Caenorhabditis elegans: one gene and its partners. The protein of the gene in region 1 purifies or fractionates together with the protein of each later gene. This does not show direct contact. Each region holds a gene or a part of one and is shown on either strand. Other genes may lie near its edges.

Region 1 (9,992 bases):
AGGATAGCACAAAAAAGAGCTTAACATAAACTTACTATATTTAAACAGTTGTTTCGTTGTAGGCAAATTTTTTTCTGTCGTGGTTTTTAATTTTTTCGATGAAGGAATGAACACTCTTATCAAATCTATAAAGTTTTTAATTATTAATTTACGGAATAGCTCCGCTTACTTGAAACTGTCGGACTTTTATGACGAGCCACCATTATTAACTTTGACAATGAAAATGCAATTGGTGCGGATAACACTAAAATTGTTATCAAAATATAACAATGCTTGATAAAATTTTTCCATTGACGGTTGTTTTTTTGTGTTCTGAAAAAGCATGATGGAATTAAATTAGAGACAATCAAACATACTTACATGTTTTGATTTCTTAAAAGAGGGACACTTGTTGAGTTCAAATCAGCAGGATTCATGAGAACAAATTTGAATGGTGGAATAGTTTCTGAAATATAATTTAATACCTGTTTCAAAGGCGTGTTATAGAAATAAAGACAGTTCAAATGAGAGAGGAAACAAGTATCGTATCTGATTAATAACAGAACTAACGAATGATAATGATCAGACGTATATATTAATGATTTATCCAATTTTCAAGTTATTGAGACATTCATTTTGAACGGGAACAACAGAAAAATGAATTTGAAATAATTACATTCACTCATTCACACTTGTATTTTATCGTATTCTTCTCATCTCCAGTGCATAATTCAGCAGAAGATACAACTTTCAAAAGAGTGTGATCATCATCATCCTGATCAATTGTCCACATGGTTATTCCTCCAATATTATGATCAGCAACATATCGATTTTTTTCTCTCAAACTTCTTTCCTCTTCTAATGTCATAAACCGGGTAGGTGGACCAGGAATCCAAATATATGAAGTTTTCGTTAGATTATGAAATTTAATGTCGGTCAGGTTCCAGTTGTATTGACGTAGTTGCCTCCGAGGTAAAGCAATTGGTAATCTTCCAGAGTTGTTATCTTTCCATATATCATCAGAATCATCACGTAATGGTAATTCGGCGCCGTTCCAATATGTTGCGTGGAACGAGACAATTATATTGAATTTACTTGGCTGTCCAGATTTACAAATGTAATACTTCATATTCTCATCGACGATTCTGCTTCCTCCTCCGTACAATGGTGAGTCTGGTCCAATTTGATTTAAAAAACTATTAAACAGGTAAATGTTTAAAAAGTCGACAAAATTTGAGAATTCCACCAAATTAGATAAATGGTTGACATTCCTGGAGATCACTAAACTAATCACAAAAGTTTCTTTTCTATTCAATTTCTTTTGGAGTTCCGTGAATGCGTATCGAAGTTCTCGAATAAACATTAAATAGTTGTTCTCATCGCTGTATTTTGGCCATGTCCAAAATATATCGACTCCATCTATATCGTAATTTTGAACAAAGGAGACAATGGAGTTGGTAAACAAATTTCGTGACGTTTCCTTGGACACCAATCCCGAAAATTCACCAGAGCTATACTGTCCGCCTATGCTGATCATTACTTTTAAAGTACTGCTTTCCTTCCTTGCTTCATTTTTCATCGCCACAAATTTTCGGCGAGAACTTTCATCGCGAAAAGTTAAACTTCCATTTTTTGGAATAGCAAACAGGTAAATAATGTGTGTTAACATTTGCAGTTGTTTTTTTGATAGAGGAGAGTTTTCGAATTCTGCAAAATATCCAACAATTCGCTTTCCACACGATGCAGCAGGAGGAGAAACTTTTTCATTGCCTGAAAGTAAAAATTCTGGGAAATTGCGTCTTATAAGCCCACCACCAGAGATGGCAAACCGGACGTCCGGTTTTCCAAAGGTTTTTTATTCTGATTTTCCAGCAGTTCCCTAATAGTAAGTTAGGCATCAAAAATATTCTAACCGTTTCTAATTAAAAATTGACTTTTGATAAGGTGTGGTCATGATGTCAGAAAGATTTTTATGTTTTTGGTTTTTATTACAATTGGCAGCTTAATGCACGTCTTAACCTGACTACTCTGAACAGATTAATCAATCCTATACCACAATAGAGAAGCTACGTTCAGTTATACAAATGAGATCTATGTATGCTAGAACTACTAAAGACGAATTATGGGAAAAAGGTTACTAAATCGCTCACACCTACACTGTCTTTCTTTTAATATAATCAAACTTCAGAGTGGCACACAAAATCGCACTATACTTACTTTTTTGAACAAGTTTTGTTGTAGGTGAATTATTTGTTTTCATCGTAGTTCTTGATGTTTGCGATGATGGAATAAGCATGTTAATCAAATCTAAGAAGGTTTTAGATATTAATTTCCGAAACAATTTCTCTTACTTGAAACTGTTTCACTTTTATGACGAGCCACCATTATTAACTCTGATAATGAAAATGCAACTGGTGCTGATATAACTAAAATTGCAATTAAAATCAAGCATGGATTGATGAGATTCTTCCATTGCGCAAAACGGTTGGTTTTTCGTGTTCTGAAGAAGCATGGTCGAATTAAATTAGAGACAATCAAACATACTTACATGTTTTGAATTCGTAAAAGAGGGATACTTGTTGAGTTCAAATCAGCACGATTCATGAAAACAAAATTGAATGGTGAAATAGTTTCTGAAATGTAATTTTATACCTGTTTCATAGGCGTTCTATAGAAATAAATTCGAAAAAACTGAGAAAGAGAAAACAAGTATCTTATAGGATTAATAACAGAACTAAAAATAAGATAATGAGCAGAAGTAGACATATATTAATGATTTATCCAATTTTCAATTTATTGAGACATTCATTTTGAACGGGAACAACAGAAAAATGAATTTGAAATAATTACATTCACTCATTCACACGTGTATTTTATCGTATTCTTCTCATCTCCAGTGCATAATTCAGCAGAAGATACAACTTTTAAAAGAGTGTGATCATCATCATCCTGATCAATTGTCCACATGGTTATTCCTCCAATATTATGATCAGCAACATATCGATTTTTTTCTCTCAAACTTTTTTCGTCTTCTAAAGTCAAAAACCAGGTAGGTGGACCAGGAATCCAAATATATGAGGTTTTCGTTAAATTGTGAAATTTAATATCGGTCAGGTTCCAGTTACGTTGACGTAGATGTCTCCATCGTACTGCAAATGGTCCTCGTGCCACGTTTTTCTCCTTCCATATATCATCAGAATAATCACGTAATGGTAATTCGGCTCCTTCCCAAAATGTTCCGTGGAACGAAACCATTATATTAAATTTACTTGGCTGCCCAGTTTTACAAATATAATACTTCATTGTCTCATCGATGTTTCTACCTTCTCCTCCATACAATGGTGAATCAGGTCCCACTTGTTTTTCTCGAAACTGTGTTGAATAAATATTGAAAAAGTCAACAAACTTTGAAAAATCTTTCAAATCGAATGACCAGTGTTTCTCTTTTGGAACAATTAAACTTATGATATATTCGTTTTTCCTATTCCACCTTTTTTGAAGTTCAGTGAATGCGCTCCTAAGTTCTTGAATGAAACTTGAATAACTTTTAATATCTTCGTATTTTGGCCGCGTCCAGAATATTTCGATTCCATCTATATCGTTTTTTTTGAAAAATGAGACAATCGACTTGACGAAAACGTTTCTTGACGTTTCATTAGACACCAAACGCGAATATTCCTTATAATAATCATGCCCGCCTACACTGATCATCACTTTTAGAGTAGAGCTTGCCTCCCTTGCTTTACTTTTCATCTCTTCAAACTTTCGGCGAGTTTGTTCTCCATCGAGAGTAATAACTCCATTCGTTGGTCTAGCAAACAGGTAAATAATATGGGTAAGCATGTGAAGTTGTTTTCTTGATAGTCCAGCGTTTTCGAATTCTGCAAAATATCCAACAATCCTCTTTCCACAAAATGCAGCAGGAGGAGAAATTGTTTGATGGCCTGAAAATGAAACCTATGAAAAAATTAGGATCCCCCCCCTGGATACTCACTTTCCTGAATCAAATGTTTCGGAGGAGAGTTTGTTTTTGTCGTAGTGCTTAGCTTTTTTGATGACGGAATAAATATTTTTATCAAATCTGAGATGTTTTTAGATATTAATTTCCGAAACAATTTATCTTACTTGAAACTGTTTCACTTTTATGACGAGCCACCATTATTAACTCTGATAATGAATATGCAACTGGTGCGGAGAACACTAAAATTGCAATCAAAATAAGACAAGGCTTGATAAGATGCTTCCATTGAATTAGGCAGCTTATTCTTCGTGTTCTGGAAAATCACTGTTAAATAAAGTTACAAGCGATTAAATATACTTACATTTGTTGATTCTCTAATAGAGGGGCATTTGTTGAATTTGAAGGAACAGGGTTCATAAAATAAATAATTTTTAGGAAAAAATTAGTTCCTGAAATAACCTGTTGATTTTTTTAAACTTGCCCTAAAAAGTCAAATCTGAGGAGGATGGTGCAAGTATGTCATCAGATTAACAATGAGTGTTTTCCAACTATCAAAAGCCATCAGTAACAGTATGAGGATTTATTTAACTTTCAACATGTTTCCCAAAAAGCTAATCAAAGAAGAAATTAAAATTAAAAAAAAAAACACTAAATCAATCACATTTGTAATTAATCTCATTCTTTTCCTTTCCAGTGCATAATTCTGCAGAAGAAACAACTTTCAAAAGAGTGTGATCATCATCATCCTGATCAATTGTCCACATGGTTATTCCTCCAATATTATAATCAGCAACATATTTAGTTTTTTCTCTCAAACTTCTTTTGTCTTCTAAAGTCATAAACCAGGTAGGTGGACCGGGAATCCAAATATAAGAGGTTTTCGTTAAATTGTGAAATTTAATGTCCTCCAGGTTCCATTTCTGTTGAAGTAGCTCTCTCCAACGAACAGCAAATGCTCCTTTTGTCAAGTTTTTGTCTTTGAATATATCATCAAAATCATTCCGTAATGGTAATTCGGCGTCTTTCCAAAATGTTCCGTGGAAAGAAACAAATATATTAAATTTACTTGGTTGACCAGTTTTACAAGTATAATACTTCATTGTCTCATCGATGTTTCTACCTTCTCCTCCATACAATGGTGAATCAGGTCCTACTTGTTTTTCTCGAAATTGTGTTGAATAAATATTGAAAAAGTCAACAAATTTTAAAAAATCTTCGAAATCGAATGACCAGTAGCTCTTTTTCGGAACAAGCAAACTAATGATGTACTCGTTTTTTCTATTTGTCCTTTTTTGAAGTTCAGTGAATTCGTTTCGGAGGTCTTGAATAAATATTGAATAGTTATTCACATCTCTGTGTTTTGGCCACATCCAAAATATTTCGATTCCATCAATATCTTCATTTTTGACAAACGAGACAATGGACTTGATGAACACGCTACGTGACGCTTCGTTAGACATTATCGCCGAAAATGCACCAGAATGATCATGTCCGCCCACACTGATCATCACTTTCACAGTAGAGCTTACCTCCCTCGCTTTACTTCTCATTTCCTGGAATTTTCGGCGAGTTCGTTCTCCATCCAGAGTCATAACTCCATTCGTTGGTCTAGCGAATAGGTATATAATGTGTGTTACCATTTGGAGATGTCTTCTTGTTAGACCAGAATTCTCAAACTCTGCAAAGTATCCAACGATCCTCTTTCCACACAATGCAGCAGGTGGAGAAATGGTTTCATTGCCTGAAAACTGAAACTCTGAGTATCGTCAACTGAACCATTCACGTGATAACCATCACTGTTCATACAAAACGGCACAAACGCAATGTGTTCTAATACAACGGTTGCCAGTCACCAATAGGTATTTTTAAAAATGGCTTACTTTTCAGAGCATGCTGTGAAGTTGTAGAATTGTTTAACATCAAAGCATTAATTGATGCTGGAAAGATGACTTTTTTAAGTTTTTCAACTTAATGTTAAATTTCAAAATAACTTTACTCACTTGAAACTGTTTGACATTTACAACATGCCAATATGATTAACTTCGAAAATACAAACACAAATGGTGTGGATATCAATATAATCGCAACAAGAATCACACAAGGCTTGACAATATTTTCCCCTTGAGTTAAAGCGCGGGTTTTTAGCGATCTGGAAATACATAAAAGGAACAAGGAATGAATCCAACCGAAACAATATACTTACAACTTGTGATATTTTAGAAGAGGATTATAGGTTGTATTCAAAGAATTCATAGTGGAAACCAACTTCTTTGAATAACTGAAATTTTCTTAAAGATGATACCTATTGGTTAATATATACCATTTTCAAGGCGTGTTAAAGAGGCAAGGTTAAATCAAAAAAATAAAACTGAGGAAGAGGAATCAAGTATCAAACATGACTATAAACGGGGTTCAACCAAACTAAAGATAGAAAATCAGCGATAATACATTCTGACTTATTTAATTATCACAATATTTCCCATCAGTAAGCCAATTACAAAATCGAAGTTGATGGTTGGTTTCTGAACGGGCCCTTTTATAATCAGGAAAGTACTGTAAAATATGTGATGGAAATTCAAATCAAAAAGTTCAAAATACTGCATACACATACATATGATGTTTCTCAAAAAACTCAATGCAGCCTAGGGATGCTGCACAACTATTCGTATCGAGATCCCAGCACAGTTGCATTGCATTGTAATTGTAATTGATGATGATTTAGTAATGTGCAACACATTTTTTAAACTTACGTTATGTATCAGCAGTCGACGTATGTATTTCCAATAGAAATATTTGTTCATATTGAACAATAAATTCCCGGGCGCTATCCAGAGTTAAGCGGTTGATTTTGCTGGAAAATACACATTAAAATTAAACTAAAACGGTTACAGAAACTCACAATTTTTGATTTCCTATTTGTGGAAAGTGTCAGAGCAACAGGGTTCATTTCAAAAACAAAATTGTTCGAATAGTAAGATGTCTATATTTTTCAGAGACGTATGATAGAAACTAAAGCAATTAAGAAAATAATTGAGAATGAGAATACAAGTATCATATCTGAATATTAACAGAACTAAAAAATAATCAACAGCAATGCACAATGAGGATTTATTCGAATGACAATATATTTTTATTATAGATCCAAATATTTGTTCGAGGTTTGATCATTCCCTAGTTGGGGATCCGTGTTTGACTTTTAAACAAAGATTAATTCACTCAATGACAATTGTATTTAATCGTATTCTTCTCCTCTCCAGTGCATAATTCAGCAGAAGATACAACTTTCAAAAGAGTGTGATCATCATCATCTTGATCAATTGTCCACATGGTTATTCCTCCAATATTATGATCAGCAACATAACGGTTTTTTTCTCTCAAACTTTGTTCGTCTTCTAAAGTCAAAAACCGGGTAGGTGGACCAGGAATCCAAATATACGAAGTTTTCGTTAGATTATGAAATTTAATGTTCTCCAGGTTCCATTTATGATGAGGTAGTTCTCTCCAACGTAAAGCAACTGCTAATCTTCCCGATTCGTTAACTTTCCATATATTATCAGAATCATCACGTAATGGTAAATCGGTGCCTTCCCAATATGTTGCGTGGAACGAAATAATAATATTAAATTTACTTGGCTGACCAGTTTTACAAATATAATATTTCATAATCTCATCGACGTTTCTACTTCCTCCTCCGTACAACGGTGAGTCTGGTCCAACTTGATATGAATAACTATTAAACAAGTAAATGCCAAAAAAGTCGACAGAATTCAAGAATTCCACCAAATTGAATAATAGGTTGAGATTGCTGGAGGCCACTAAACTGATCACAAAATCTTCTTTTCTATTCAATTTATTTTGGAGTTCCGTGAATGCGTAGCGAAGTTCTTGAATAAACATTAAATAATTGTTTTTATCTCTGTATCTTGGCCACATCCAAAACATTTCGATGCCATCTATATCGTATTTTTCAACGAAGGAGACTATGGAGTTGACGAACACGGTACGTGACGTTTCATTAAACACCAATCCCGAAAATGAACGAGAATTATAATGTCCGCCTATGCTGATCATTATTTTCAGAGTAGAGCTTGCCTCTCTTGCATTACTTTTCATTTCCTCGAACTTTCTAAGAGATCGGTCATCGACAATAGTTATAACTCCATTCCTTGGAATAGCAAACAGGTAAATAATGTGTGTTAGCATTTGAAGTTGTTTTCTTGTTAGACCAGAATTCTCAAATTCTGCAAAGTAACCCACGATTCGTTTGCCACATAATGCAGCTGGAGGAGAAAGGGCTTCATTGCCTGAAAACTGAAAGTCAGAGTATCATTCACTGACGTACAAACAATGAATGAATATTTGGACGCAAAGTTGTGTTTTCGGAGTCAACATTCTCATAAATTCTTTTGTTTTGTTTTATATGTGAAGACTGGCGGCTTCGTGATTACAATTTGACGGCACATCAGCTTATAAGATTTCAGATTTTTGTGTATTATTTCATATTTACTTTATACATAGTCATATTGTTCAGAAAACTCAAGAAAAGCACCTAAAAACTTGGCTAGTAAAAATTCAAGCAGTTACGTTTTACTATTGAACATCTAGCAGTGGACAAAAAACGTATGAAAATCAAAATGTCGAGGTATACCCGCATAATTAATAAATTGATACTCAGTAATGAAAACACGACCTAACCCATCAAGTTAATAACCTCATATCTTTCAAAAAAAAAGGCGCGTTCAACAGATACTTACTGTTCGGGGCATCCAAAAGTGGAGGTAGACCAACATATTTTGTCGCAGTAGAAGATTTTGTTTTGATCATAGTTCTTGATTTTTTCGATGATAGAATAACTATTTTTATCAAATCTGAAAAAAAATGTATATATTAATTTTCGAAATAGTTCCGCTTACTTGAAACTGTCGGACTTTTATGACGAGCTATCATTATTAACTCTGACAATGAATATGCAACTGGTGCGGAGAACACTAAAATTGCAATCAAAATGAAACATGGCTTGACAAGATGCTTCCATTGAGTTAGGCAGCTGGTTTTAGGTGTTCTGAAAAATCATTATTAAATTATATTTCAAGCGATTAAATCTACTTACATATTTCGATTTTGTAGAAGAGGACTTGTTGAATTCAAAACATTCATACTAAAAAAAAAGAAACTTTAGATGACATCAAGTTTCTGAAAGGTGATGTTATAAAGGAAGAACGTCAAATAAGAAAAATAAAACTGAGGAAGAGGAATCAAGTATCTTATCTGATTAATAACAGAACTAAATAAAAACAATCAGCAGCAACACACGGTCAGGATTTATGTATTCAACCGATAATGTTGTTTTACTAGTGAGCCAAATAATTAATAGAAGTTTTATCATTCCCTAGTTGGGGATCTGTGTTTGACTTAAAATTGATTAATTCGGTCAATCACACTTGTATTTAATCTTATTCTTCTCATCTCCAGTGCATAATTCAGCAGAAGATACAACTTTCAAAAGAGTGTGATCATCATCATCCTGATCAATTGTCCACATGGTTATTCCTCCAATATTATGATCAGCAACATTTTTCTCTCAAACTTTTTTCGTCTTCTAAAGTCATAAACCAGGTAGGTGGACCGGGAATCCAAATATAAGAGGTTTTCGTTAAATTGTGAAATTTAATCTCCTCCAGGTTCCATTTCTGTTGAAGTAGCTCTCTCCAACGAACAGCAAATGCTCCTTTTGTCAAGTTTTTGTCTTTGAATATATCATCAGAATCATTCCGTAATGGTAATTCGGCGTCTTTCCAAAATGTTCCGTGGAAAGAAACAAATATATTAAATTTACTTGGTTGACCAGTTTTACAAGTATAATACTTCATTGTCTCATCGATGTTTCTACCTTCTCCTCCATACAATGGTGAATCAGGTCCTACTTGTTTTTCTCGAAATTGTGTTGAATAAATATTGAAAAAGTCAACAAACTGAAAAAAAAATCTTCCAAATCGAATAACAAGGATCCTCGATTTCTTTTTTGGAGCAATCAAACTAATTATGTACTCGT
Region 2 (9,566 bases), on another chromosome or scaffold:
ACAAACTCGGAGGTTCAAAATTGTAGACTCGAGCATTGTCAGATGTGTATTTCAATAATTAACGTGTTTATAAATAATGAGCGAAATACTATGACGGCATGAAAACGTCATGTGTTTAAATAGAAAAACTAACAAAGGCGTCGAAAGTCAAAAGTTTCAAAAATATAAAGTAAAGGGAAAAATTAATTTCCTATAACTTTTGCCAAATTTTTTCTGGGACAAATGATATTGTGCAGAAATTGGCAGAACCTTTCTGACGCGTACCTATTGGTATTTATGAATGTGATTATTTTTATGTTTACGAGGTAGAAAACAATTGCAAATGCTCACGTAAAATAGCGTAGTCTTTCATTTTCCAGAATGTGCCTGGAAAAAACGCTGCTGTAAAAGAATCGTGATTTTTGAATTAAAAAGTTTTAAGCGTCTACGACATTTTCTAACCTAGACATTACAAAAGAATGATTGATCTTTTTTTGAATAATTTCCTTGCTTAAGTTTCTTATTTGTTTTTTGTGTGTATGTTCCTATATTAAGAAACCAAGTAGGGGATGAGCTCAGCTCTGCCACACGGTTAAATTTTTTAACGCATTTTTTAACGAATTTTTTTTCCAAAAAAATATATGATGCCAACATTTAAACTGTCTGTTTTTGTCGCTTTTGGAATGTTTATGAAACAACAATTGCCAATCCTAAAAAAAGTTTTGTGTGTAGCATCGAACCTATAAGACCAAATGAAATTCAATACTCTAGTGAGGTAATCTGTACCCAAAAACGAAAACTTTGTGTACTCCGATCGGACACAGTTTTCCATCGGAATGATATCACGATCACGGCATTGTTTGTGTTTTGTTCCAAAAAAGAAATATAAATTCGTTTCCATTTTTCCAGTTCATGGTAACCGAATGTTATTCTATTTGGCAATTTGTTGGTTTTTCTCAGAATATGAAATTCAACGATTTATTATCACAAATGTGAATACAAAATGTTCACTTTGGGCACTCCTTGAGTTCGGTGCATCTGTAACCGTTTCGGACAAAACCACTGGAACACTGGCAAACATTTACAATGCATTGTCTGGTACATGGTCTTGGTCCTGGTTTTTCACAAGTTGGCTCACAAGCGGTTCCGCATCGGAAGAATGTCTCATTTTCCGGACATTTGCTAGTTTCCTTGGTACAGGTGGAAATATCGACACATTTTCCAAGTGAATTACGCACAAATCCTTTCTTGCAGTCGCATGCGTTTTCAATACATTGAGCAGATAGACACACTTTCTGAAAATTAAATATTATAGGAGAACATGGAAAATTATAGATTACTGGAGTGTATCCGCATTGTGTCTCACAGTGATCATGGCATGCAACCATTTCCTCGTTGGCTCCACATGTCTCTGAAAAGTAAAATGTTTATTTTCCAGAAATATTTAACAATAATCATTTAAAAATAAACTTACTATTGGCAGCTGTCGCAGCAGCAATAAAACAGGCAATTATGACAAAAGTTCTCTAAAAACTCATTAGTTTTTGCATTGCTCTAATGAAAAAAAGAACGAACCATCACAGAAAGAAAAGTAATGCAGCAGTCTGATGTTTTCTTTTGAAATGACTCTATTTATTGTTCGAGAACACTAAATCACGCAGAGGACTCTAGTCTATCAAAACCGCCCTTTTGTTTGCCAGAGACATAGACATTGAAAAAAAACGATGACCAATAAATCCAAAAGATCAAACAGAGTTTTTTTTAGTTTTTCATGCCAGGAAAAATAATACTGATGTAACAATTGTGTTATCAATAATAGCACACAACTCCAGTTTCCTTCATCACACTTCTTTTTGAATTTTTTCCAATATTTGATGGTTTATTGAACTTGGAAATGTTTACTCAAAAACAAATTATTTTGGACAATCTTTCTTATCAATGCATCTGAGTCCATGACGAACGAAACCTTTGGAGCATTGGCAGACATTGACGATACATTGTTTAGTGCAAACTGTTGGATTTGGTTTCTCACAAGTTGCTTCACAAGCTGTTCCACAGCCAAAGAATGTCTCATTTTCTGGGCATTTTGTAGTTTCCTTGGTGCATTCAGATACTTCGACGCATTTTCCAAGAGAATTACGAACAAATCCGTCTTTACAGTCACATGTGTTCATGATACATTGCTCCGTGCAAGCTTTCTAAATTTTGAAACTTTCAGTAATGGGAGACACATTAAGTTAATTGTTACAGGGGTATATCCACATTGTGGTTCACATGTATTATGGCACGATACCAGCTCCTCATTGGCTTCACATGTTTCTAAAAAAATATTTATGATCTGGTAACCGTTCAAGTACCAAATCACATATATTTACTTACTTGTGGCGGTAGCAACAGCAACGATGCATGTGATTATGACAAGTATCCTCTGTAAGTGTATAATTTTTATATTAGAAAAAAAACTCAAAAACTCACCATTTTCACAATAACGAAGGGCAACCAACCGATGTTTTGCTTTTTAACGGCTCTATTTATTGTGCCGGAACACTAAAAAACGGCAGAACCGCCCTTTTTTTCGGAAGGGATGATACGAGAAACATGATAAGATCGAATGGGAGATATTATAGGTCTTCTCAATCTTTTGGAGAGAAATTTATCTTTCACCGGTCACGTATTTATTTTGTAAATTGGGCTCACAACAAAGGTTTAAAAATCTCGAAGAATTTGTATTCGAAAATTCAGAAAAAATCAGAAACACATTAAATCGAGAACCTTACGAAATTTCATTCCGACCAATGATTTTAATGAATCAATTCACTAGAAGATATCAATTTAAAACGTATCGCTTGGTGCAAATAGTTTTGGCTTGGCTCACTGGAGAGTATTTCGAATGTGTTTCATCCATAATTACCAACTTAACATTGTTTGGTTAACACTGACTTTTTGTATTCATTGTATTGCAACACGGAATAGTTCATAAGTTTTTTGGCTATTGAAAAGGAATACAAATATTATGTTAAAATTCGAATATTGTTATTTTTAAATTTTCTGAAAACATTAGCATGAAAACATCAATATTAAAATATGAGAAAAACAACTTTTTTTTTAATCATCGAAAATATTATTCAGTGGTATGTTGTGCAACACATACGTCCACAATTTGGCATGGTTTCTCCTCACAAGTCAGCTCCACAAGTTCACATTTTTCGTTCTCAGAGCATTCAAGAGTGCATTTGCCTGAATGAAAAATTTATGACTAGTATTATGTGCAGGTTTTCAGCGAATAATCACTGATGGTTAAATTGGTTAAAGTCTAGTAATAAATTTTGAAGCTTACTGCATTTATTTTTCTCCACACATTTTCCAGTTGCCGAGTCTCTGACGAGTCCTTTCTTACACTGGCAGACGTTTGTCATACACACCAAATCACATTCCTGAGAAACAATTTATGATCATACATAATCTCAACGTTGATTTACTGGATTCTCGTTATCACATGTCGGTTCACACGCTGAGCCACACGCCTTGAGCTCTTCATCGCCCTCACATTCCGGTTTGCGGATTGCTGGAAGTTTCCAAGAACCACTGGATATTTTTGGTTTCACTACACTTACGGATTGGCACGCACTTTGGATCAACTGAACAATCGTCTTCAGAACCACATTCCAAGTCACTGACTGGCAGTTCGCATCTGAAAAAATATTTTAAAATTTATAATTGGAAATATTAAAACCTATAATTATCAGGACATTTGATAGAACCACAGAGTGCGTCTGTGTGAGAAATGGGCATGTTTTCTGTGTTTTCTGAAAATAAGTCATTTGATTTTTAAATAAAACCTTGGTACTCACTAAGAACTCCAGATCTAGCAAAAGCAAGAAGAGCAAAGAAAATAAATAATTGAAAATTCTGAAAAAACACACTTTCATTTGTTGTAAGATATGAAGAAAAAACCACTCACCATTTTGATGAAAGAATTTCTGAAGAAACTTTCGGAGTGGGGAAGTTATGAGAAGGAAGCAATCATTGAAATAAAATTGACAGGCGTGAGACCGAGGATGAGTCAAAAGATTAATGACTTGGTGAGACCGGAGAGAGTTCAGCCGACCGGAATATTTCTTGAGTGCTGTTTTTTTAAGTTTAAAAATATGTTATTTACAAAATTACTTTCTACGAAAGTACGCCTGAGAAGAACAAAGAAGTAACTGTTTTCGGTTTTTGCTTGAATAGACTCAAAATGCGCCCTAGGCAAAATTTTGGTAATGAGAAATCTCAAAAATTATGCAATTTTTTTGAGAAGTCTTATTATGAAAGTTGCCCATTTGAGTATTTTTATTATATACAAGCAAAAACTCAAGACTGTTGGAACAGAAGATTAACTGCTGGGATGGGCTTTGAATATATTCAAAATAGCTCCAAAAGCCAGAAACTTCATAAAAATAACTCGCAAAAATACTCAAAAACTGTGTACAGCCGTTCAAAAATTTTTAACGTTGTTTCCAAATTGTGAAAAAAATAGTAAAAGAAACAAACAATAAATATTTTGTCAGCTAACAATCTTTGTTTAGAACAAACGACAATTGAGATACGCTGATCAGCTGCCAAAGTCGAACAATAGGTGTGATTCTAATAGATAAAACACGGTACTTTCCAGTTCCAATAATTCCAATACCCCTAAATCTAATTCATTTATGAGAAGTCTCCTATTGAAAATTGATAATTTTAAACACGTTTATGTGGTTAGTTTGCTCTCAAAACAGTTTGCTCCGTCGAAAATTTTTTAAAAGAAGCTTTCAGATAATAACTTTTTGATTATTCAAGTACAAGTTTTGGCAAGTCTACAAACTTCTTGACAATTCCCTCAAGCTTATATATAAAAACTTTGGCATTGTTTGTTAGAAATCGTTTGGTTATTCTGACATTTGAAAATTGATTTATTACACTGTATGAAATTCACAAAATTCCATCACAGTGTCGATTTTTTTAGCAAAATACAATTTGAATGATCTCTTGGATTGCTTCCTTCTGGACATGCAAAAATCTTGCAAGCGGGGCCAACAGGACATGGCTTGTTAATACATGGAATAGGCACAGGAATACATATGGATTGACCGTAACATGTTACAAAGTCACATGCATCTGGTAGTTGTGAATGTGAATATTTAGCCAGAAATATAAAATAACAGAACAGAAAAAGTAACTTCATTTCTATAAACTGAAGTGAATGAAAACAATCAAAAAGGAAAACATGGGAAAATGCATTGCGTGACTACGAAAAATAAAAGGAAATGTGCCTAACGAGAAGAAGTATAATTGAATTTTCTGTCTTGATAGTCCTCGAAAGATTTATCCGAGCAAATTGCCATCAACGGATCACATGTTTTATTTGGAAGACATTCTACTTTTGCAACTTTGCAAACTGTCTCTCCGTAACATTTCACTGTTGGTCCATTCAAACAAAGCCGATCGTAATCTTTCAAATTTAAATGAGTACTGAGAATAGTATAGGGACGGTTTTCCCGAGCCAATCTGGGTTTGTCTTCTGAAATTATTTGTTAGTCGTGGTAAAACTGCGTGTTTTGGAAAATGTAAAATAAAGTCATAAGTAATAGCTGAAGCCAATCAGAAATTAAATCAGAAGTTTTTCGAGCAAACAAAAAAAAACATTCAAAATTTGTTCAACGAAAATATAATTAAGTGAAAGTAAAAACCATCCAAGAATCAAATTTTTGGAATAGTTTTATTATTGGTTACTTTTTTGCAATGATACAAGATTTATATTTCACTTGTTTGCCATAAAACATCACTACAGATTTGGCCAGTCGAATAAATCTTGTTACAGAAATGCTTACCGTTTGCGAACGAGTTGAGATATATGATGACTATAGACATTAAAGTCACCCTGGAAGTTTAAATATTGAAGTTGGAAAATAATCGAAATGAACTCACGATATGTATATTGCTCGAAAGGATGCCATTTTAAGAAAAAAATATTGGTTGAAGGAAAATTTTAAAAAAATTAAGGTAGCACCATCGAAAAAAAACCTCATAATGTTTACGAGGATTGAATAATTATAGGTTTATGTTGTAAGTGGAGAGTCATCACAGAATGGTAAATAATTAATGCAGGTTGGATCATCTATACAAGGAACTCGGACAATTGTGCAAGTATTCATTCCAAAACAATTGATACCTTGGCAGAGAGTGTCTTTATCATTCGAGTTCATATAGTCTGGCTTGGATACCAGTACTGAAATAAATAAAATCCGTGATTAAAATAGTTTAAAAAAAATGGATTTTAGGCCTATTTCGATGACCCATTTCATAGTGATGAAAACTACGTGTTTTTTGGTAATTTATTTGCAGTTTGTCTTCAACCAATAAACATGATCACGATTCTGAAAAACAGTGAAAGGAAACTTAAATTACTCGAAAGGCCGTGAAGACAAATATCGTTTTTCATCTATCAGTCTTGCACTGATTTGTGCCGTACTTTGTGAAAACTCACGTCAAATCACATTTTCTCAATTTTCGCTCATTTTTCCGAGGGGGCATTCGAAAATTAGTCTTGAAGCCTCTTATCTTACAGTCTTACAGTCTTTATTTCTTTCAAATTTACGAACCGATCAAAAAAATGACATTGCATGCCAGATTAACAGAGGAAGTATGATATTTAGATTTTGAAATAAAATATACTACTAAATGCTGTATGTTGAAAAATTATCGGTTTCATGAAAGTTTCAATTGCAACAATATAAATCTTGACTGATCAATAAAACAACTTCTTACGTTCAACATTTCTGGAATCAATTCTTTCTCGTTCATAATCTTCAATGGTTTTATCTGAGCATTCTGGCACCATAATAAAACAATCAGGAGAAGTTTTATTAAAACAAGCTAGTTTATGTTCATGACAAATCGCATCACCATAACAAGTCACTCCTTCACACACATCCAACTCACACATAGCTTCTGAAAACAGTGTAGTATTCAATTATAAAGTCACCTTTACTGAAAACAAACCTTTATACAAAAAATAGAACACTAGCAACCAAAAAGTTGAAACGAGAAAGCTGGTAGTCATATATAATATAATGAATACGAAAAATGCCCGTCGTCGGGATATCAGGCGGAATGTGGGTTGGTATGGAGAATTGGAGACGAATTAATCAAGTTTCTGGCATTATTTGATTTTTCCTACCTTATCGGCTAAATTAAATAAATTTTTTTGTCGGTAGACGTAAATAACAAGTAGAGAAAATGAAATACTAAAAAGGATTAACAAAACTGTATACGGATTTATAAAGATGATCGCGTATCGGTCATATGAGGGTGTGAAGACTGACACAAAAGTAGGTAAAATGGGTTATGTTTTGAAATTTCTTGTTCATTGGCAATGCATTTCAAAATTTGTTTCATTTTTGTTACACTTGGGATATTAATGCTACTTGGCGTAAAAGCAGAAGGTAAGTTATTTAATCAATATTAATTAGTTATTCAAAAGTCAGACATTATTTAAACATATATTCATAAACATGAACCTGATTCGAACCGCTTGCACTCAATTTTTATGTGTATGTGAACCGACGCTTTATTACAAATCAGAATGCCATGAGAAAGCGCTTAAAACTTATCGTTTGTGAATAATATATGCACCTGACGTGTTATGTCTTTTTTTGAATATTATTTTTTATTTAGAAGCAATGATTAATTTGATGGTTTTCTCATTTAATTTTGAGCATTCTACGTATCCACATTTTAAAAATTCAAAAAATTCCTTTTAAAAATTGTATTCAGATTGAACTGCTCGAATGGAAAATAATTGTTTTTTTCAAAAAAAATAATATAAAATCTTGATCAATTTTTTTGGTTTTATAAAATTTAAAACTGTGCAAAAGCTGAATTTTTTACAATTTTTCAGTAACACCATCATTGGGAGAATTACTAGGAATCAATGCTGCCCCCGTGAGTTGTGAAGATGTTAAGTGTTTTGGTCAAAACTCATGCAGAACGGTGGCACCTCCATGTATTCCTGGAAAAACATGTCCAACTCAACCATTATGTTCTACCCAAATATGATAAAATTATACCCTTTTTTTTATACGTCGATGAAATGATTATTCGCTGTTTTATGTACATTTATTGGATAACATCAGGTCACTAAACACGGGAAGAAACAGTAAAAGAAATGCCAAAGTGAGGAAGACCGGTATAAAAGCATTTCGGGTCACACAAACACACAAATACAATTGCTAATGATACACAATTGAAAGGAACATTCGTTGATCAAGGCGACTCAGAAGTGAGAAACAGTACGGAACAAGAATAAAATCAAAATGCAACAGAGGGATGAAATAAAAAAGAGTAAAGCTTTTTGGAGATGTACAAGCTTATTGTTTAGTTTTTCCTGGGGGCAATGGAATATCAAAAATGATTGGATCATATGCACTTCGAAGCTTATGATCACAAAGTGCTGCATTGATGAATGTTGTTTCTCCATTCGTAGTCACACCATGCTTCTGCAAAAATAAAAATTACTTCAACTTGTTTTTGCAAAAATTGTTATTGCTAACAATTACAAAATAAGATTCACGCCACATCATCGGAAAATTGACCTTCATGCGGGCAAATAATTAAAAGTGCAGTATGTTCACAGCACAACCAGTATTTAAAAAAAAAACTAATTTATAGTCGAAAGAAATTGAAAACTGCGGCAAATTTTAGAGTCTTACATACTTGATGAACGTGTCCAAACACGTGATATTTTGGTTTTACACGTTGCTCGACAGTGTTCAAAAGTTCTGCACATCCACAAAGGATTCCATCCATTTTGTCCCAGGCATTAAAATCACCATGTCCAAGTGGAGGTGTATGGGTCATTAGAACATCAATTTTCGCGGGGATTTGATTCCATTTGTGAAGAATTTTTTGTCCTCTCTGACGGAAAAATGAGTATCCTGGCATCGAGTGCCATGGTGCTCCATATATTTTGAGTCCATATGCTTCATATGATTTATCACAGAGGTATGTACAATTCGAGAGAAGTTCATAGGCTTTATTGATTCCGAGCATGTTAAGGCCTGCCAGTTGACGTTCACTCATTTCTTCACCGTCTTCAAAACCGAGCTCATGATTTCCAGCAATTACTATTTTATGTTTGTGTGGCAGGGATCCTGAAATATTAGATTTACATTTAAAATTACAAATGAAAATGACCCTGCATCCCAAGCAGACAAATTTGGCAAAATCCAATAAAATGACCCAAATATATTTGCTAACTATGAATTTGTTATCACATTACTTTTTTCATAATTTAACTGGCACCAATTTTCGTTTAAAGTGTTAAATTTCAGGATAAAAACCTTGTAAAAAATATGAGCTTATCCGTCATCAACTCAATTTAAATAATCAAGGATTTGGTCTGTAACAAAATTTAGAAAATGACTCAGAAAACTGATTAAAAATTTTAATAGGAGAATAGCAGTAAATTTTATCAAAAATTATTTTCGATTTTAATGTTACATGCTGAGAAATGACACATTTAGCACTACAAATACTTTTCATCATCTTCAGTTTTAATTTCACAC
Region 3 (11,940 bases), on another chromosome or scaffold:
CAGGTGGCCATGGGGTACGTGCACATTTGAAACCTCAAAGAAACAACGGAAGACATGTTTTTCCGGAGGTGTGACGTGAAAATTGGTAGCTTTTGGAAGAAATATTTAGTAGAACAACAATATTTGAAGTTTCTATACTTATAGTAAGTAGGCAATTTTATGTCATTTTTAGTGAAATATTTTAACGAAAATCCCATTTTTGTTCTTGACCGATTGTCTTTCACTTTCGAATTTCAAAGTTTTGTTGGAAGAAACCAAGAATTTCAAAAACTGCTATAGAATCCCTTTGGGCATTTAAATTCGAACAAAGTAAAACATCATCAAGTCATTTGGGAGTTGTTTTCTTCTTTTGTCTCCCCTCTTCTTCTTGTAGTTTAATCATCATCATTCATTTAAAAAAAAGAGCATTGATGAGATCATCACATTGTATCTAAATGCTCCAAAAGAGTCAGCTGACATTCCCTCTGTTCCATCACCCAATTCATTTTTCTTTTCTTTTCTTCTTCTGGCAACAAAACGACGGAAGGAATTGGAAGAAGAGACGAAAAAGGAGTGCCGATTGTGTTGTCTTGTGACTGCAGTTCAACTGCTGCTCAGAACAACGACCATCTGCTTCCCGGGGTGACAAGACACTTGAAAGAAAGAGAGACGAGCACCACAAAAATGGATGCATTAGTGATTTTGGATCCTTTGAAATGATCTTAGATTTTTTGAAGAAAGACCGACGATCGGATCTCGACAAAAGTTAAAATCTTCAAGTCACTACTACCCGTTCCACAAGATCCCGTAAGACAGATTTCAGTTCACTTGCCCTAGATATCACATTTCCATTGGTTTTTCAAACTCTAAACATTTCTTTTCTTTTTTTGTAAGTTGATAGGATGCTTCCTGTCAAAGTTTCTGAATTGTTTTAATTATAGTGCACGACTCATTGAGCAATCAAAAGTTTGGAACAATTTCAATATTAACTAAAAGGAAACAGGAAACATGATAGGACGCTTCCGAAGTAAGCTGCTCAATTGTTATGATTATAGTGCTCACTGCATTGCTCAACTCAATGAACAATCATAAGATCAACACAATTTCCAATCACTTTGAATTGAACAGACACCAAAATGCCAGTGTGACCTGATAGATTCTAATTTTTTATGATTATAGTCCTCGATTTACTGAATATTCAAAAAAAGTCGAAAGTAGTATTTTCGGACTCAGCGACACCGGAAACAGCCAACTCATTGTATTCTTCTGTTTTCCATTTTCTTCTTCCCATTACAAAATGCTTTTTTCTTCGATATTCATTCACTAGTTACTACGACCAGATGTCGTTCTGAACTAAGGCGGCAACAACAGCTTGTTTTTAAGAGTATAATGATGGCCACTTCAACGACCAGGTACTTTGGTTTCATTTGGCATCGTTCCCTCATCCGGAACAACCAGAAATCTCAGTCTGACGAAAGGGAGAGAGAGACGATACGAATTGAAATGTGAAACGGATAACTAGCATCCATTATTAATGCACTAGAGCATGCGAAATTGACTCAATCAGTGTCGAGATTTCGAGAGTCAGAATGAAAAGAAAATACTCGCTCGCCGCCGCGTCAGGAGACGAATCAGGAAATTCTATCGAAACTTTGGAAAGTGACAGGAAGATGAAAGTTTCAAAAGTGGGCATAAAAAAGTCTTTCGATGAAAAATTAGATTTCTAAAACATTTTTTACATGATTTTAGAAATTTAAAATTAAACTATTAAAATTAAAATTTAAATCCTTTGAATGAATATTTCAGAGATTTTAAAGATTTTTAATTAATAGAATTTTTTTAAAACATTTTTTTAAAATTTAGCTCGATTTTGAACATTTTGTTTTTAATTTTAGACAGATTTAGACGAGAATTTATTACATTTTTTTCTGCATACTTTTTGCTTTTTGTCTTCTTATCAGTATCGAATTGCATCGAAACATCGATGATCAAATTTTGAGCTTTGCATCTTTTTTTTCAGATATCTTTTTGAAAAGAAACAACTTACCCGTGAAACAATTCCATTCAATTCTGCAGGTGAAACGTCGTCATAGAGATGAGTGATGAACACGGGAACACCAATGATAAGATACGAAAGAATTCCACCGAAATAATCGAAAACATTCGTGATACTGTTTAGAACCATTCTCCATTCAGTTAGCGATTTTTGAGTTTCAATTAAATTTTTTAATTTTTGATTCGTCATAATATTCTCCAGAACACCAGCACGATAGAAGGCGATTGCTTCGACATTCGAACGAACTTCCATATGTCTTTGTCGGAAATCTCCTTCCATTTTCTCCTGTTCTGATACTTTTTGAACAATCGGAGACAAAATCATCTTGTTGATAATTGTTTGGATACAGAAATAGGTGTAGATCGCTGCGGGACCAATCCAACCGGAACTTTCATAAGTTAGCCATGTGTAATATCCAATTATGAATGGAGCTGTAGCAATTGGAGCTAGAAGATCATTGGAAAGGATTCGAGTGGCTTTTTCAATATCTTGGGTTAGACGTTGATCTCTGGAAAAATATCGAATTTAAATAATTTAAATTGAGAGAAAAGTTTTTCCTTTCAAAATTAAATTATCACGATAAATTTTTGATCGTTAAATCTTGTGTTGACATGTTGGTACGCGCATTTTAAGGCATCAAATTTTATTAATTGTTATAATGTGCCTATATCAACAAATTAACGCGAAATAAACAGCAATAAAATATGATATTTTTATTCTAAGCTGTATTTTAGCTGTTGCGACAATGACAAGTTGAACAAATTTCAAATTCTAGCTTAACTTGGTTTTTTCCAAATTAAGCGAAAAATCTAAAAACTCATAGTCAGCTTTTCAATTAAAAGAAAAATTGTAAAATATTATTTGATTTTATAAAATTAATTTATATAAAAAACTTACGGATTATCAAGCATATCCCCAGAAGAAGATAGCTTGAAGAAAGCTTGTCTCTTGAAATATAACCTATGCATCGTGAGATTACATACTTGACGACTTTTGATCGCTAACATATTTGTAAGATATTTGAATACTGCTAATGTCTGAAATTAAACGCTAATTAGGATGAGAAAATATCGAATTTCGATCTTACAAAAGCTTTTCCAAGAATAATCGCGGCTCCCCGTGCACACAGAATTTTAAACGTGTCAGCATCCTTGTTTCCCAGTGCCACGTAGAACAGACTTGGCTGGATTCCAACTAAATACGTCATTACTTGATCGAGAGCAGTTGCGATGAGCAGTGCTCCGGCGAGCCACGCGGTTATCGATCGACGATGACATGGAAACAGGATTTTAAGAAGACGCCAGAACCTCCGAAAGAAGAGGAAGTCGAGGGCCAATCTGGCCATTTTGACCGGATTTTGGGCCGAGGCGTTTTTGCGACCTGAAATTTTGTGATTAGGAAGGCTTTTTTCAGAAGATGCCCCAGAAATAGACATTAAGAAGAGGAGGAGTGGAGTTGAATTCAAGAAAAATAGTGAATTTCAGTGGAGATTTTAGACAAACTTGAAGCTTTTTTTATGACTGGACAATTCTACTGAGATCAACCGGAGCAAAAAACAAAGCATTTTTCTGGAATTTAAAATGTTTCAAGGAGAATATTTAAGACAACCAAACACCATTCAAATCCGAAACAAAAAAGAAAAGAAACGTAGGCCGGCCATACCATCCCATTCAAACCAAATGAGGTCGATAAAGGCGTTGAAAAGAGCACAAAGAAATGAGCACAGAGACGTGGACAATGAAGAACAGAAATGGATAATGATTATCACCTTTTTCTGTTCGTACTTCTTCCAGTTGAATTTCTTGATCCGACTCCATGCGGGATGTGCAATCTGGAAAGAGCTGGCTGTGAGTGAACATGCAAAAACATAATTTATATTTACAATAACAATAGAGATAACGACGATCAAAACAAAACTAAAAAACAAAAGCTATTCAAGGTGCTGCTGAGTTTTTGTGCATTGATAACAATTCAGTTTTACAGAAAAAAAAACAGAAAATGAAGCTTTCGGCATAAATTATTACAATTTTATGTTCCAAACATAAATAAACAGACTATAATGATTCGAATATTTTGAGAAAAAGCTTCAGTTTTCGACGGTTTTGCAGGAATAAGTTCGGTCAGCTGTACACGCAAATACATTTGCGTCCGCACACAGTGTAACGAGGAGAGTGGGGGACAGGAGAAAGTGAGGCAAGCGGAAAGAGAGATTGCAAACGCAGACGATGAAGAAAAAAATGATGGGCGGGGAAGCATTGGGCACTTTTTGGGGGAAAGATGAGGACCCTTTGATATTCAGAATTTTATATTCAGATTTATAACGTGATTCGTGCGAGGAGAATTATCAGTTTTATATAGGATCTTTGAGTTGAAATAAGACGAGAATTTAATTTTTTATCAACAAAAAATCGGGAAGATATGTAACGAATTTCTTGAACGGAAAATAGCAAGGAATCTTAAAAATTTATGAAAAATAAATTGCAATTTTCATACTGTAGAAATTAAAGGGACATTACGAATAAGCCGAATAAGGCCTCGGCACGATTTCAAAAATGCAAATACGCTCTGTTGGAATTTGCTTTTCCCGCTCAGTTTTTTAAATTTTAAAACTTTTTTTTTCATTCTTTTTCATTTTGGCTCCTCAAGATTGTTCCTGCTTTTCGATCGTTTTTTCGAAACCGAAAATTACGAAAATACACCCAGATTTTGGCGATTTTTGTAAGCCTTTCTATAGTTTTTAATCCCCAACAAAAATTATATTTTTTAAGCCGACGGAGAGAATCCAATCCCTCGACATTTACGGAAGATCGCCTCAAAAAAGGAAATGAGTACAAAAAGAAAGATTGTGGTTTCTTCGGGTAAAAAACAAATTGCATTCTGTGCAAATGTGTATTACGAAATTTCTTTTTTTAAGATTCCGATGATGATATGCCATTCACCCAGGAAAAGCAAAAGAAGGCAGCGACACCGGCGAAAAAAAGGGTTCGGAAATTCATGTGAACTGAACCCTCATTGAGAAATGTTTCAGACAAAGCCAGTAGTACTAACCGATGACGACGAAGAAGAAGAAAATGCACCTCAAAAAAAGACTGCACCAAAAAGATCGAGAAAGCAAGAAAAAGAAGAGAGCGATGTGAGAAAGCACTCTAATATCCATGAAATATCGCAATAATTAGCTTTTAGATAACCTCTGACGAAGACGAGCTCGTGCGCGGAACTGATGAAAAAAAGAAAAGAAAGGGTGGAAAAAAGGAGTTACCAGTTGGTCAAAAAACGCTGGATTATATGTTCAAACCTTCTTCGTCATCTTCGAAACGTGATGATCCTAAGAAAAAAGTCGAAAAAACATTAGTGAATCCCGCAGACTTCTTCAAAAACTCACCAGCGCCATCTGCATCAAAACTTCCAAAAGTTGCTCCGAAAACTGTTGAAAAACCAAAAACGCCAGCTAAGAAGCCAGTGGAGATCAGCCCGTCGACCAAAGAAAACACTAAAACAAAGAAAGTGTCGGACGATGAGTTCGTAGATTCTGATGATAGTTTTGACACGTTCACTCCTATTACTGTGAAAAAGAAGACACCTGAAAAGAGAAAGGAGACCCCGAAAAAGAAAGAGCTTCCTTCTGTCAAAAAAGAATTCCCAAAGAAGCAATCAATTCCTGTCAAAAAAGAAAAAGAAACTCCACAGAAAAAGGCGTTATCAGTGAAAAAAGATCCACCGAAAGTAACCTCCGAGTCATCTTCGTCGAGTCAAGTTTCCACGTCATCAGTCGTTTTTCAACCGAAACCAAGTGGGCCACCCCCAGCACTTTCATGGGTTGATAAGTATAAGCCGAAAAGGATGGGAGAACTTGTTGGCCAGAATGGAGACAAAAGCCCAATTAATAAGCTTTTGGAATGGATTAAAGACTGGGCAAAACACAATCTTGGCGAAGGGGCAAAAATTAAGAAGCGTAAGTAATTTTATTTCTATTTTATTATAATATTATCGGCAATTTTCAGCAAAACCAGCTCCATGGATGTCATCTCAAGATGGTACATCATTCAAAGCAGCTCTTTTATCGGGTTCTCCTGGAGTTGGAAAGACTACATGCGCCTATATGGCTTGTCAACAACTGGGCCTTCAACTTGTCGAAATGAATGCATCAGATGTGCGTAGTAAGAAACATCTCGAAGCGAAAATTGGCGAACTCTCTGGTTCTCATCAAATTGAGCAGTTTTTCGGAGCGAAAAAGTGTGCTCCACAAGATAATCAAAAGGTTCATCATATCCTGATTATGGATGAAGTCGACGGAATGTCTGGAAATGAGGATCGAGCTGGTGTGAGTTTAAATGAAGAACTAATATATTAATATTCAAATGTTTATTTTTACAGATCTCTGAGCTCATCCAAATTATCAAGGAGTCTAAAATTCCAATTATTTGCATTTGTAATGACCGGCAGCATCCGAAAATTCGTACACTGGCCAACTATTGCTATGATCTTCGTTTTCCAAAGCCACGTGTCGAGACTATTCGTTCTCGGATGATGACCATCTGTTCTCAGGAAAAAATGAAAATTGGCAAAGAAGAATTGGACGAAATTATCGAGTTATCCGGTCATGACGTCCGGCAAACAATTTACAACCTGCAAATGAGGTCAAAGGGAGTTGGAGCAAAGATCAACCAGAAGGATATGGCTGTGGTAGGTCTCCTAGCCGTGAAATTTTGCGATTTTCGCGCCAAAAATGGGGTACTTGGTCTCGATACGAAACTTGCGCCTGGTTATACAAATTCTGAAATCTTAACAACATTTTCAGGATGCATTCTCGGCGGCTCGTCGTCTCCTGGATTCTCGTACGACATTAATGGAAAAGCAGGAAATGTTCTTCACTGACTATGGAATCATGCCACTTTTCGTCCAGGATAATTATCTCAATATGAAAAATGAAAAGCATAGTCCAATCCAAGCGATCCGTGGAATACGAAAAGCTGCAGACTTCATTTCCCTTGGAGACCTTATTGATCGGCAAATTCGTGGTGGAGGATCCTGGAAGTTGCTCAATGAGCAGAGCATGATTTCTGCTGCACTTCCAGCGATTGCCACTGGTGGACATTTGAAGGCAATGATTCAGTTCCCATCGTGGTTGGGAAAAAACTCGACAGCTGGAAAACGGAAGAGATTGCTTCAGCAACTGGTTCAACACACACATCTCAAGTAAGTTACGCTAAATTCATTATGGGAATTAGGAATTTATTTATTACTTTCAGAGTTTCTGCTGGTACTCACTCATTTGCCACTGATTATGCTCCAATGCTCCGTCAGAAAATAACGAAACCACTTCTTGAACATGAAGCTGATGGAATTCCAGATGTGATCAGCACAATGACAGAATACGATCTCATCAAAGACGACACTGAAGCACTCACAGAAATTGTTGCTTGGCCTGGAAAAATTGATCCGGCTAGTAAAATTTTGAGTAAGGTGAAAGCATCATTGACTAGAACTCTAAACAAGACTGGTCGAATGCTTCCATACTCGATGGATTCTGTGTCAAAAGGAAAGAAACGAGGTGTGAATTCAATTGGAATTGAAATGGACGAAGAAGGAAATCTAGTGGAGAAATTTGAAGATGAAGATGGAGAATCCGATAATGAGGATAACGAGGAGAAAACTACTGATGTTGTTATTAAAGTTAGGACTGGTGGAGGTGCCGGAGCTTCAAAATCTGCTCGAGGTGGACGTGGTGGTGGTCGGGCTCGTGGAGGAAGAGGAAGCAAGAAATGATTATAGATGTCCAGTATTATTCTAACTATTACCGTAAACTTGCAATAAACCCTCTTGAATGATCACTATTTCGACAAAGCAGATATTCTTGCAGGAAAACTATTAAAAACTGGATAAAAAATCATGTTACAACGATTTATTTGAGCACGATGAAACAATTTAATTTTAGTCATTTTGCACCAGGAGGACAACGTATTATGGTTTTGCCAAAAATGTTGAAAATTTCGTTCAAGATCATTGAGATATTCACAACTGTTTTCTATATTTGTCAAGTTAGTTCGCATTGAAAGAGAAATCAACTCTGACTAAATTGAAGACAATAGAATCGTTGTGAAAACTGGATGAACCACGAAATTTCGCGATATAGTGGTCTTTCATAAAAAGGAATGAAATCGTAGGGAATTGGACCAGCAATTGTGAAAGCATCGGGAGGGATTGTAACATAGAAAATGTGGTAATGGAGTGCACGTGGTGTCAAAGTGTCCCATATTGGTTTGATCTACGTAGAAAACGTCGTAGATCTACATAAATGCGGGAGAAGAGACGCAGAGTTCTCAACTAATTTTGCATGGTTAAAAACGTGCCGACGTCACATTTTTTGGGCAAAAGATTCCCGCATTTTTTTGTAGATCAAACCGTGATGTGACAACCTGATACCACGTGGGAGTGGACTAGAAAAACTAAGCAAGAAATATGGATAAATGGAGAAAAGAAGAATAGAACTGGAGGAGGAAGCAGGAACTATTTTGAGCAGGAAAGATGTTGCACTGCGATTTTGTGGCCTGAAAAGTTAGAATTATGAAATCCTTGTTTTGTGGAAGTTTCAATTGGAAACAAATGTAAAGGAATTATCGTAATTTCGCAATTATCTGAAACACAAAATTAAATGCACCCATGGGTATCGCAGCGAAAAAATTCTCCTTGACAAAACTTTCTGATTTTACCGTCATCTCTGGGCACATATTTTCAACAATTACTGAAAGCTCTAGAAGATTTCAATAAAAAACAAATTGTGTGTCTAGCTATGAAGACAGATCCAGCTAAAACGGTGCGCCTTTGCGCCAATCGGTCTCGGCACCCCAATTTTTTGTTAAATTCAGAGTACTGTAATTTCAAACTTTTGTTGTTGCGGAATTTTCAGCGATTTTTCAAAGTTTTACGATAAACTATGCATTTATTGAAAATTTAAACCCATGAGAAACTCTATGAATAGTCGATGAATGTTCTATAGAAACAAGAGTTTGAAATTACAGTACTCTTTAAAGGCGCACACCTTTTGAAATTTAACAAAAATTTGTCGTGTCGAGACCGGGTACCGTATTTCTGGTGCAAAAACTGCTATCTCTTCTGGGTAATATTCGTTTTAGTTTTCAATATAATTTTTCAAATTCTCACCTTCCAGTTGATTCAAATGGAAATCTTCATGAAAATAGCCATCTTATCATTAGAATATTTTGAGCGGTCTCAAAGAATGCTCCCACTTTCAAGTTCATAAGGTAGTAGCAGTGTGTCTCGGAGCACATTACATCACTCTGGTCCAGCGAGCAGAAGTCGGCTTGGCGGAAAGGAATAGTGAATCGGAACTGCAAAATCTGGAGGTGATGTCCTCCAGGAACTTGTTCCATTCTCATGAAGAGAAGGCGGGCGTGAATAACTTGATCAGGAGCATAGTTGCCTAGTAGGATAATGGAAATGTCTGGCATTGCCAAAAATAAGATAGAAACTGACGAAATGGTAAACAGTCTACCACGTAAGTGGGCGTGAAGCGTTGAATGACCAAATAGGTGAGAGTTACACATGTGAAACGAGAAGCAAGAACAAAATACTGATAAGAAATAGCGAGTGAGCAGTTGATCAGAGTGATTCAAGACTGTGATACCGCAAAGGTTTGCAACAAACATATGCATTCATTTCTATATATGTCTGCTTCTCCCGTCTCTCGTCAGTTTTTAAGATGTGAGTTCAATAATTTGGAATTTCATGAAAACTAGTAAATGAGTGAGTCAGGGATGGGTGCTAACTTTTTTTTTTGGAAAACGGCAGGTTCCCGGAAAAAAAATGAAAAACTTCGACAAATCGGACCTTTTTCAAAATTTCACAAAATTGAAAATTCACCAATTTGGTACAATGATCAAATTATTATTTTCCAACTTGCAAGCGATACACGATAAACATGCAACATCTTAAAATGAATGTTTTAGAATCAGATTAAAGGGCTAGGATGATTCAAAAGGTTGATAAATTCTGACAGAAACTAGTTCCAGTTGAAACCCTCATTTTTATGTACCAAGAATCGGATGTAGCCTTATCAACACAACTGAAATATTTTCAACTAAAACCGTACTAGATTTTTAGACACAAGTCATTCTTCACTTTCCTATGATTTCTCCTGTTTTTTATCCTGCTTCTTCTCATGCTCTTTTTCTACGCCTTATGTTCTTTCACTATGCTCATAATCTCCCAGTCCACCCTCCGACATGAACCTTGTATGTATCATCTTTCTTTTCTTTCCACGCTTCTTCAAGAACGTAATAAATTATTATTATTATTATACTGACTCTTCCTGTGTAAGTTATGAATGATCAAACAACAAGCATAACATAACGCAATACAATTGTATTTCAATGGTCAATGAATTCCATATCAATCCTTTCAGCCTTTATGGCTCATTGAATGTTTCAGAGTCTTTTAAAATAGTGATCTTTTGGCTTCTGCTGCCGCCATGTCTTTTGGCAAGAGTCTTCTTAGCAGTTGAAGCTTTCGCTATGAAAGCTTAGGCAAGCCTAAGATAAATTATGTGATGGGTTTTGTTTGTTGTTTAATATTTAATAGCTTCACAGGAAGACGTAGGATGCAATTGAAAAGTACTGATTTCAGTTGAAAATAGTTGCCATTTTGATGAGGCTACACACAGTTTCAAACTGACCACTAATGCCCTTCTTTTTTGAAGCTTTACTGGTCAGTTTAACTTTAAATGCACATGAAAATGTTGCCATGGTTGAAATTGTATTTATAGCGTCTATTTATTCTTGGTATCACTGTAGATTGATAATTATCGGAAAATCCAATTTTCTAAAGACCGTCCTATTCGTCTTTTTTTTTGTTTGAAAAACGCTACAAACTACGTATGTTCGAGAAACTGTACGTTTCTCTCAATGTTTAAAAAGAAATTGATCAATCTCTTGGCAGTTTTACGATCTATTGGTTTATATATATTTTTTCATCATAGATCATGAAATACTGGGTTATAATTTTATATTTTATTGGAAAATTCATTTTCGCCAATTCAAATGTAAGTTTTGTTTAATATTAACATATGTATTGAATGATAGTTAATTCAGGTCAAATGTCCAAAAAATTCAATTGAAAAAGAACTTGAATGTGCCATCAAATGTTGCTCTTCATTCGTGAGGTATTATTGTTGTGGCATTGAAGAAAATGAACATCCTCAAAAAAACGATCGCTATGTTGATTTTAAAACGCAGGGAATGCCAAAAGCTGACAGATATAGGCCGAATAAAAACGGTTGCCCGTACGTTTTCTGAAATGAGATTGAAATATCACTAAACTACGTATCGAATTTAAAATAATTTATTTCGCCAGCCACTTAAACAACTAATCGTCATTTGCACTCTTCTTTTAAACAGTCAAGAAAACCTACAACTTTGAAAATTTCTAAAATAACCAAAACAACCAAACAAATATATTTTCAGATTTAATTTCATTGCTATCGGATTGATATCTTTTATTGTAATCTCAATTCTTTTTTCCTTCTTCTGCTGGCTTTATCGCTGTTGTATTCCGCAACGTTATGACAGTGTGCAGTACAGATACCAACAACATGTCAACAGTTAAGAAGTGCTAAGATTTCTTGAAAATGATACACACTTTTCAAACACACTTTTAATTCCAATCATGTCTCTTGCTGTGTAGGTTGTGAAAGATAAAACAACAAACAATCCCACACACACTTTAAAATCACCCACCCCCACCCACATTTGACCACGGACTTGTTCCAATCGGTCAATAATTAGTTTATTCCTCCCCACTACATATTCAATCGTTTGTTTGATATATAGATTTTTGTTTGTAATTGATTGTTTTCTGAAATTTTTAATAATTGAGAAGAAATAAATAAA

The links.
Region 2: the proteins of chil-5 (region 1) and C25E10.10 fractionate together in Caenorhabditis elegans (co-fractionation; one large-scale study listed by BioGRID). This does not show direct contact.
Region 3: the proteins of chil-5 (region 1) and rfc-1 fractionate together in Caenorhabditis elegans (co-fractionation; one large-scale study listed by BioGRID). This does not show direct contact.

Annotation. Positions count from the first base shown.
Region 1 is NC_003280.10:9,855,275-9,865,266, forward strand, and holds chil-5 (GH18 domain-containing protein), read right to left. Parts: upstream 4,402-9,992; 5' UTR 4,358-4,401; coding exon 4,302-4,357; intron 4,254-4,301; coding exon 4,105-4,253; intron 4,061-4,104; coding exon 3,974-4,060; intron 3,924-3,973; coding exon 2,836-3,923; 3' UTR 2,746-2,835; downstream 1-2,745. Other genes in the region: chil-4 (GH18 domain-containing protein), read right to left, coding at 36-125, 170-312, 361-416; chil-6 (GH18 domain-containing protein), read right to left, coding at 662-1,749, 2,197-2,286, 2,331-2,479, 2,528-2,583; chil-3 (GH18 domain-containing protein), read right to left, coding at 4,594-5,681, 5,821-5,877, 5,941-6,089, 6,144-6,193; C08H9.18 (uncharacterized protein), read right to left, coding at 6,765-6,791, 6,840-6,887; chil-1 (GH18 domain-containing protein), read right to left, coding at 7,157-8,244, 8,695-8,808, 8,854-9,002, 9,051-9,097.
Region 2 is NC_003283.11:9,052,376-9,061,941, forward strand, and holds C25E10.10 (TIL domain-containing protein), read right to left. Parts: upstream 3,979-9,566; 5' UTR 3,944-3,978; coding exon 3,941-3,943; intron 3,889-3,940; coding exon 3,831-3,888; intron 3,786-3,830; coding exon 3,713-3,785; intron 3,671-3,712; coding exon 3,594-3,670; intron 3,545-3,593; coding exon 3,459-3,544; intron 3,414-3,458; coding exon 3,317-3,413; intron 3,217-3,316; coding exon 3,101-3,216; 3' UTR 2,951-3,100; downstream 1-2,950. Other genes in the region: C25E10.8 (TIL domain-containing protein), read right to left, coding at 987-1,274, 1,320-1,390, 1,454-1,505, 1,555-1,557; Serine protease inhibitor swm-1, read right to left, coding at 1,893-2,177, 2,228-2,298, 2,359-2,407, 2,455-2,457; C25E10.11 (INSulin related), read right to left, coding at 5,274-5,521, 5,832-5,881, 5,929-5,957; C25E10.16 (Prohormone-3), read right to left, coding at 6,060-6,229, 6,769-6,951, 7,003-7,063; C25E10.13 (uncharacterized protein), read left to right, coding at 7,376-7,445, 7,901-8,058; UPF0046 protein C25E10.12, read right to left, coding at 8,370-8,498, 8,716-9,152.
Region 3 is NC_003283.11:14,638,665-14,650,604, reverse strand, and holds rfc-1 (Replication factor C subunit 1), read left to right. Parts: upstream 1-4,625; 5' UTR 4,626-4,753; intron 4,754-4,803; 5' UTR 4,804-4,859; coding exon 4,860-4,893; intron 4,894-4,949; coding exon 4,950-5,017; intron 5,018-5,063; coding exon 5,064-5,168; intron 5,169-5,211; exon of another isoform or gene 5,212-5,218; coding exon 5,219-5,987; intron 5,988-6,036; coding exon 6,037-6,356; intron 6,357-6,409; coding exon 6,410-6,718; intron 6,719-6,833; coding exon 6,834-7,231; intron 7,232-7,284; coding exon 7,285-7,801; 3' UTR 7,802-7,938; downstream 7,939-11,940. Other genes in the region: pmp-3 (ATP-binding cassette sub-family D member 4), read right to left, coding at 2,027-2,543, 2,933-3,072, 3,123-3,415, 3,804-3,852; C54G10.1 (uncharacterized protein), read right to left, coding at 9,223-9,504; F43D2.7 (CX domain-containing protein), read left to right, coding at 11,034-11,093, 11,143-11,333, 11,515-11,656.